Nothobranchius furzeri: one gene and its partner. The protein of the gene in region 1 purifies or fractionates together with the protein of each later gene. This does not show direct contact. Links are inferred from orthologs where the notes say so. Each region holds a gene or a part of one and is shown on either strand. Other genes may lie near its edges.

Region 1 (4,058 bases):
AACACAAACATTGAGAGAGGTGTCCTCTTTTAGAAACATAATCACCAAAGGTCTCACAGTGTGGATGGGTCTGACCGTGGTACCCTCCCGCCTGTCCGTGACTCCAGTTCGGACTGACCCAGTAGCTCCAGCTGGGCTCGGACGGCGTCTCTCCCCAGCTCCACATGCTGGGGTGGAAGCTGCTGGCCCGAGGTTGCTGCTGCTCCTGGGGCGTGTGGAACGAGCTTGGAGGGGGACAGCTGAAGTCTGGTGGAGGGTAGCGTTCTGGTTCGTTCATAGCTCCAGCTCCGGTGCCTTACTCAACGTTACCAGCCAGAAAACGGTAAAAGTTAGCTCAAGGTATTAGTCCACGCGCTCGTGTTTTGCCAGAGTTCACGCGTTCGTCACTTCCGTGAAAAAAGTGTGTTGCGTTTTGGATGATCGGAATTTCCTTTTCAATTTCTCAGAACTGGGATTTACAAGTTATCCGGATTACAACTGAAAATTAGATTTCCTACAAAAATATTTTAAAACAAATCTTCACACATCTGGAGTCGCCTATGTGCTTTAAAATTAGCTACATAAAATGTCATTCTTATATTACGGGAGTTTGTTCTCTTTTATTCTCTACTTGTTTGTAATTCTCCTTTTATTACATTTTGTTCTTTAAGTAACATCACGTATTGTTTAATTATATTATCTGTTTTATTGATCAGTCACTTTAATGATGGAATCATTAATAATAATATCGTTTAAAAGTGCGTAAACAGTTAGTTTGGCGTTAAGTTTTACTGTGAAAGCAACATACCGTGCTCATAACCTCTCGCGAGATTTGTTTGCGCGCATCTCTGGCGTTGCCAAATCAAATCCAGTTTGTGACATTTAATTAAAATGTATAAACTTTTTACTTTTTAACAAAATGAACATAACGATAATTTAAAAATAATAAGTAAAAAATACAATACGTGGTTTTACTATTTTGCTATGCGATCATAAAATAAAGGTGGTGGAATAAAAAGATGGAATTGAATTACATTTACTTTGTTAAAAGCTTTCAAGAACACACAAAACAACACAGTTGCATAAATTTATTATAGTTACTGTGTATGGCGTTTTAAAATACATTTATTGTTTTTAGAGTTAGCTAAAACACAAAGGAAATACTGACGTTTGGGTGATTTTGGTTCAAATTAACGGATCTGGCAACCCGGAAGTTTCCCCCTGCAGCAGCTCCTCTGCACCGCGTGCGGTTTCCGAGCCTCACCATCGCGGTGACTGACCGAGACGAAAACTGTCAGCTCTCTGAAAAGAGAGCACTTTAATAAAACAGAGCAGTTTCAAACATGCTCGTTCTATTTGAAACCGCCGCTGGATATGCGATATTCAAAGTGAGTGTTTCATTCTGTCAGTTTACCGATTGAAGTACGATATTTCGCTCGTATGTCTGTAGTTAGCCTCGATTAGCATCCTAATGTCACACATAAATTTGCCCTTAAGTAACAAGTTGGTGTTATTAGGGGAAATAAAACAACCGAGCTCTAAACGTGTCTGTGTGGGCTTGAATATGGCACCGTGTGCTTTCCTATCTCACGTGCACGTCTTCGTTTCTAAACTCAAATGCTAACATGAGTTAGCATGCTGTTAGGGGCCTGTGACCACGTGCGCTCCTGGAAGCTGGCTGAGTTTGATCTCAAACACAACAGAGAATGTAGTACACTCGCTCAATAAAAGGATAATTAATCCGGTCAGGTTATTGTAGAGTCGTTCCTTCTAAATGCACTTAAAGTGTGTTTGTGTGTTTGTGCTAGCAAAGTATCAAGAGCAATGTTGCCCATGTGGCTGTTTTTTTCGTTCAAGTCTATAAAAGACAGTTTGGCTCGGTGCAACACTTGCCATGCACAAGTTCCCTAGCTTCCAGCATACAGACGCTTTTATTGTCTGGTTGCTCAAGTTTATTTGTTTTTAGGTCCTAAATGAATCAAAGCTGCAGCAGGTGGACAGCCTGTACAAGGAGTTTGAGACTCCTGAAAAAGCCAACAAAATGTGAGTATGAACACGTCTCAGTACCCTCAGCTCAACACCTCACTCTGGGGGCTTACATCTGTTTTTCCTCCATCAGTGTGAAACTGAAACACTTTGAGAAGTTTCAGGACACGACGGAGGCACTGGCAGGTAAAAACACTCTGTTGTGTCTATGTTGGTGGTCTGTGATGGATTTCAGTGTCTGATAAAAGCATGAGGTTATCCACAGCAATCGTCACTACCACTGAGACCACCCTGTCCCTTCAGCCAGTAGATAAGAGAAGATGTCCAGGATAGGAGCAGGGATTATTAAAGTGTGCTTATCTAGGTTTAATCAGTTGTTTCTGACCTCTGCTGTGAAGCTGCCACCGCTCTGGTTGAGGGAAAAATCAGCAAAAGTTTGAAGAAGATCCTGAAGAAAGTCGTGGCCAAGGAGGCTCATGAGGAGCTAGCCATCAGCGATGCTAAACTGGGTGGAGTTATTAAAGTGAGTTTCATCCTTCTGCAGACGTCAGAAGATCTGTCTGTTAAAGATTTTCTGATCAAGTTTGTGTTCTTAGGACAAGCTGGACCTGAACTGCGTCTACAGCCCCGCAGTAGCCGAGCTGATGAGATGCATCAGGAGCCAGATGGAGAGTCTGATCTCTGGACTTCCTCCCAGAGAGATGAGCGCCATGTCTCTGGGCTTGGCTCACAGGTCAGGGTCACCCCGGGGTTATACTACAGCTGCTGCTGCTGCCTGTGATTACACATTGCTGTCTGAGATCCTCATGTAGATGTTCCCATCAGCATTCGTCACTACCACTGAGGCTGCCCCTGTGCTCCTGTTTATCGCCTGGTCTGTTGTTTATCAGCTAACACCCTCTCCTGTTGCAGTTTGTCCCGCTACAAGCTGAAGTTCAGCCCGGACAAAGTGGACACGATGATCGTTCAGGCCATTTGTGAGTGTTTCGCTGATGAAGCATCGTGTTGTTTTCATACAATATTAGTGATAATGACCCCTGAATGCAGCATTAGCTGGTTAGGGTTAGACATTAGCGGGCTAAATCTACAGAAACCTGTAGAAAGTAACTATTTTATTTCAGAAATTTCTTTTTTTTAGGATTTGATTGAATGTTCTCCCCTGTGAGGTGGATTAGTAATATTTCAGCCATTCTATAAAAAATCTGAATTTAAGAAATATCAAACTGTCAGTTCAGCCGAATGTTCATTTATTTTAAATAGAAAGATTTAAGTTAGTCAGATGATTAATATATAAATATTTATGAAGAAATTTAGTCTTTTGTCAGGATTTAACATAATGTCAGAGCACCCTTGATAATAATGGTTATTGATCTTATAAATATTATAAGAGGAAACTAAACTGACGTGATAAAAGCTTAAATCAGAAGTTCCTGGATACTTGGTTAGGCTGAACCTCACCTCCAGTGACCCCACAGAAGAAGCTAGTAGCAGCATCGCCGGGCCGTGTGGGTTCAGACATCTTGAAAAATTGAGGAAAGCCCAGTTTGTGTCCCTGGTGTCCTTTTCTGTGATCCTGGCTGTCTTTGTCCACAATAACCGGAGCTTGGGTGTTTTTGTCCTCAGCCCTCCTGGACGACCTGGACAAGGAGCTTAATAACTACATCATGCGCTGCAGAGAGTGGTACGGCTGGCACTTCCCCGAGCTGGGGAAGGTCGTCACGGACAACCTAGCTTACTGCAAAACCGTCCTCAAAGTCGGTAAGGTTCGTTGTTTAAGTAACACCTGGGCTGATGTGAAAAAGAGACGACAGCTTTTGTTTTAATTATCAAAACCCATAAAGGAAGGGCAATTATTTACCTTTTTACTATGAAGTGTCTTACTGATTGGACGGTCGTCTTGTCCGCCCCAGGTGATCGTACAAACGTGTCCAGCACCGATCTGTCAGAAATCCTCCCTGAGGAGATCGAGGCTGAGGTGAAGCTAGCTGCTGAGATCTCCATGGGAACAGAAGTATCCGAACAGGACATCGACAACATCCGGCACCTGTGTGATCAGGTACAGCTTTGTCGGGGTAAAGGTCAAAGGGCATCAG
Region 2 (4,181 bases), on another chromosome or scaffold:
TGTCCATCTTTAATTTCACATTGAACCAACTTTAAAGAGAGATAACCCACCCTGAATAAGTGTGTGTTTTGTGTGTCCCCGAGTGAATGAACAGTTGGGATTTCCTTTTTGTTAATTGCATGTTTTAAAATGTGCTTTTGTCGTACAAAGATTGAAGGTTTCTTTCCAAATGAAAATCACTTGATAATTTTAGTCTTCATTCACCGATCCAGATATGTATTTGAGTGAGATACACACACCTAGAGTTAAGCCTTCTGAAAAATGCTAAAGCTACTACGTACCCTCTGGTATGCTAACTAGCCTAGCTAGCTGCTAGTTGTTAATTATCTTACATTTAAACAATTGAGGAGTCAGTCATTAGAGCCTAACACAGTGGAGATTAATTCATGATCATATACATACATGTCTAGAAAAATAGTTATTCTTGGTCACATCAAGTTTTCAGATTAAACAGTCATGTCAAGCTTAGCCGGCTGCTTGTTCCAAGACAAGACAGGTATGGTTTAAAACCACCCAAAGACAGTTAGTGACAGCGACTGGATGGGATGGGAACACTGATCCCGTCACGCAAACTTTCAGAACAAATAAAGTCAGCTCTCACCGTTAACTGACTGATTCCCCGAATCCCCTTCATCTCTCCTGTCTCCTTCAGCCAGGACAACGATACAATATGGCTGAATGGAAAGTGCCCTACCCAGAATGCATAGCGCGTTCATCTCTAGCTTGCATAAACCGCGCGCCCTCTTCAGACCAACAAATAAACTGCATCAACAATTTTTCCAGATCTAAAATCACAAAAAACAAAGAGTTCGAGAACAGCAAATGGGAAATATGAATCAAATTGATTGTGTGTGGAAAATAATTGGCAAATTAAATCTGATTAGATCGTGACACTGATTAATATTTTGCATTTACATAATTAGTAATTCTATAATTAACTTTCCATCATCATCATCATCATCATCATCATCATCATCATCATCATCATCATCATCATCATCATCTTTATAAAGCATTTTCCCACAACTAATAGTCACAGTCCACAATTTAGAAAAAAAAACGACTTCATGAAAGCCCACAAACGCCTCAGGTTTAAAACGAAAACGGGTTCAAAGATAAAAAGTCTAAACCTTCTTTCATATTTTTGTTTTTTTTATTAAAGGTTTATAAGATATCCCCTCGACATTTACAGTGTCATAAAGCAATACACACCATGATACACACTCGAAAGCTGTTTTAAAATAACTTTATTTGAACTTTAGAAAGTATTTTTCAGTTTGTTCATGTTGTTTGTTAATAAAGTTTGTTTTGAAAAAATTACATTCCCTGTGCGCATGTGCAGCCTGACGACCATCACACACGTGGGGTCAACGTTTGGATCTAGTGCATGCTGCAGATAATAGTCGTTTTGTGGCGCTATTAAAACTCGAATGAAACAAGAATAATTCACGTTTCGATTGTATTTATATTCTGAAGACAAATCAAATAGTCCTCCGTGAAGCATTTCGCCGAGAGGGCCGGATTACAAAAATGGTGAGCTTAGTGTAAGAGCTAATAGGCTAACAGACGGGCTTGCATGTAGCATGAATAAGAACACACGGTTGTGCGCTTTCTTAAAATAAGATAATGTGATTTTTGTTAAAGCTGGTTTGTTCTGTTGAAGCTTATTTTGAACCTTCTCATTTTTGTGACCAGAGTGAGCCCCAAGTGAACCCAAAGGCCTACCCTCTGGCCGACGCCACCCTGACCAAAACCATCCTGGACCTGGTGCAGCAAGCCTCCAACTACAAGCAGCTGAGGAAGGGAGCTAACGAAGGTGTGGAAACTATTCGGCTATTTTACTCAACATTTATAACAGAATTTGTAACGAAACAAACGTAGAAGGTGAAAATTTTGCTTTTACATGTAATTATTGGATCATAGGCCGTGTTCTCACTGCTGACTCAATGGTCGAACCAGAATTTCTTTCTCAGATGTGACCCACTTCTGCTTTTTATGACCCACATCTGCTTTTAATGACGTTCACAACACATATTCGTCATAATTATCAAGTTAGACCTGGGTCCCTTTCATATGTAATACTTTAAATCTGAATTTTACATCGACATGTGACAGATGTTCCTATCCTGCGGCAGAGGAAGCAGGAAGCTCTTCTTTACATGTGCGTGTCTGCAGCGCTGTACACTTGCCTCACTGGAGGCTGATGGCAGCTGCATTATCAAAAATTAGAATGGCGCATTAAGACCAATCCATCTATTTTCTTCAGTTTATCCGGGGTCGTGTCACGGCAGCTGCAGTCTACGTCGAGAGGCTTATACTTCCCTCTCCTCAGCCACTTGGGCCAGCTCCTCCCGCAGAATCCCAAGGTCTCCCCTGGTCAGCCATGACATATACAGTGCCTTAACATGCACACTAGAGAACCAAAGTATTGCCCTAAAAAGACTTCTGTAGTTTTTTAAAATGCATATAACGCGTTAGTCTGGCTGAAAGGGAATTGGTTCTAATCTAGTTCAAATGATAATGATAAATGACCCGCACTTGTGTAGCGCCTCTCAGAGTAAGGACTCCAAAGCGCTTTACTCTACAGTGTGTAATTCATCCATTAACACACACATTCACACACTGATGGTGATTAGCTACGATGTAGCCGCAGCTGCCCTGGGTGCACTGTCAGAGGCGAGGCACCCAGATAATACAGTAGCAAGGAAGCGCTGTTGAACGACGGGCGCTTTGTCCCTGTTAACCTATGCTCTCAGTCACATCAGCTGGGAAGCGCCACAAAGGCTCGCTCCGTGCAGCGATCATTTTGGCGTGAGCTCTATTTTTACGTGAGCCGTGAGTGAACAATTCTGGCAGGAAGTAAACTAAAGCAGAAGAGGCAGGCTGGTAAATTTAACAAAAAAAAAATTCACAATAAAACACTGCAATTGATAAAAGTGATCATGTTTGTGTATCTAAATAGACTAGAGAGATGAAAAGGAACAAACACACACCTGCAGAAAAACGTAGTGTTACCATAATTTAAAATTCAGTGTTTACAGCAAAAGATGGATTTAATAAATGTGAATACAAACAAATGCACAGCAGCAGAATCAGCACAGTGTCCAATATCAACAAGCAAGGCAAACTGGTTACACACACACACACACACAGAGCAAGGGCATGTTTAGAAAACAGTAGGCGTGAGCAGAAGTGCTCGTTGAAAATTCTCGCCTGATGTGACCAGAAGAGGAGCGGAGAGCGCACAAATTTTGTGAGCAATCCACTCCGCGGTTCTTCGCAGCTGGTGTGTTCTGGGCATAAGTCTCCTCCCAATTGGACGTGCTTCTCTCAATGTGGAGGAGCAGCGGATCTACTCCGAGCCCCTCCTGTATGACCAAGCTTCTCACCCTATCTCTAAGGGAGAGCCCAGACACCTAGTGGAAAAAACTCATTTTGGCTGCTTGTATCCACAATCTCATTCTTTGGGTCAATACCCAAAGCTGGTGACCATAGGTGAGGGTAGGAACGTAAATCGAAAGCTTCGCCTTATGGCTCAGCTCTCTTCTCACCATGGCAGACGGTACAATGTCCGCATCTCTGCAGACTAGGGCTGGGCAATAAATCGAAAATGTATCGTTATCAAATTTTCTGACTTATCGAGATAATTTTCCCATGTCAAGATGTGTGTAGGTTGTCAACGTTCATGTCCCTTTAAGAAGCTGTACCACCTCGTAAAAGTATGACTCAATGTAAAACATGTGACAGCCCCATCTAGTGGACAACTTTTGTTTCTGCGCATTCCTGTAGTTATCGTCCGTTTATCGTTATCGAGGTGAAATCCTCATCGTGATATTGATTTTAGGCCATATTGCCCAGCCCTACTGCAGATGCATCACCAATCCACATGTCGACCTCATGCTCACTCGTGAACAAGACCCAGAGACACTTAAACTCCTGTACTTGAGAGAGGACCTCATCCCTGACCCGGAGAAGGCATTCTACCCTCTTCCGACTCAAGACCATGGTCGCTGACATAGAGGAGCTGATTCTTATCCCAGCTGCTTCAAACTCTGCTGCAGACTGCTCCAGTGAAAGCTGGACATCACGTTCTGATGAAACTAACAGGACCACATCATCTGCAAAAAACGGAGACTCAATCCTTCGGCCACCAAAACAGATCTCCTCCACACCTTGGCTGC

What was found.
Region 2: the proteins of nop58 (region 1) and snu13b fractionate together in Homo sapiens (co-fractionation; 3 studies listed by BioGRID and IntAct, with this or other methods). This does not show direct contact. The link is inferred for Nothobranchius furzeri from reciprocal best matches to the Homo sapiens genes NOP58 and SNU13.

The regions. Positions count from the first base shown.
Region 1 is NC_091742.1:74,286,106-74,290,163, reverse strand, and holds the start of nop58 (nucleolar protein 58), read left to right. Parts: upstream 1-1,197; 5' UTR 1,198-1,322; coding exon 1,323-1,367; intron 1,368-1,945; coding exon 1,946-2,022; intron 2,023-2,098; coding exon 2,099-2,151; intron 2,152-2,363; coding exon 2,364-2,488; intron 2,489-2,561; coding exon 2,562-2,698; intron 2,699-2,877; coding exon 2,878-2,942; intron 2,943-3,588; coding exon 3,589-3,723; intron 3,724-3,875; coding exon 3,876-4,021; intron 4,022-4,058. Other genes in the region: FMR1-interacting protein NUFIP1, read right to left, coding at 46-277. UniProt on the Homo sapiens protein: Required for the biogenesis of box C/D snoRNAs such as U3, U8 and U14 snoRNAs. Part of the small subunit (SSU) processome, first precursor of the small eukaryotic ribosomal subunit.
Region 2 is NC_091756.1:29,119,059-29,123,239, forward strand, and holds the start of snu13b (NHP2-like protein 1), read left to right. Parts: upstream 1-1,352; 5' UTR 1,353-1,530; coding exon 1,531-1,533; intron 1,534-1,695; coding exon 1,696-1,816; intron 1,817-4,181. Other genes in the region: uqcrc2b (cytochrome b-c1 complex subunit 2, mitochondrial), read right to left, coding at 602-634.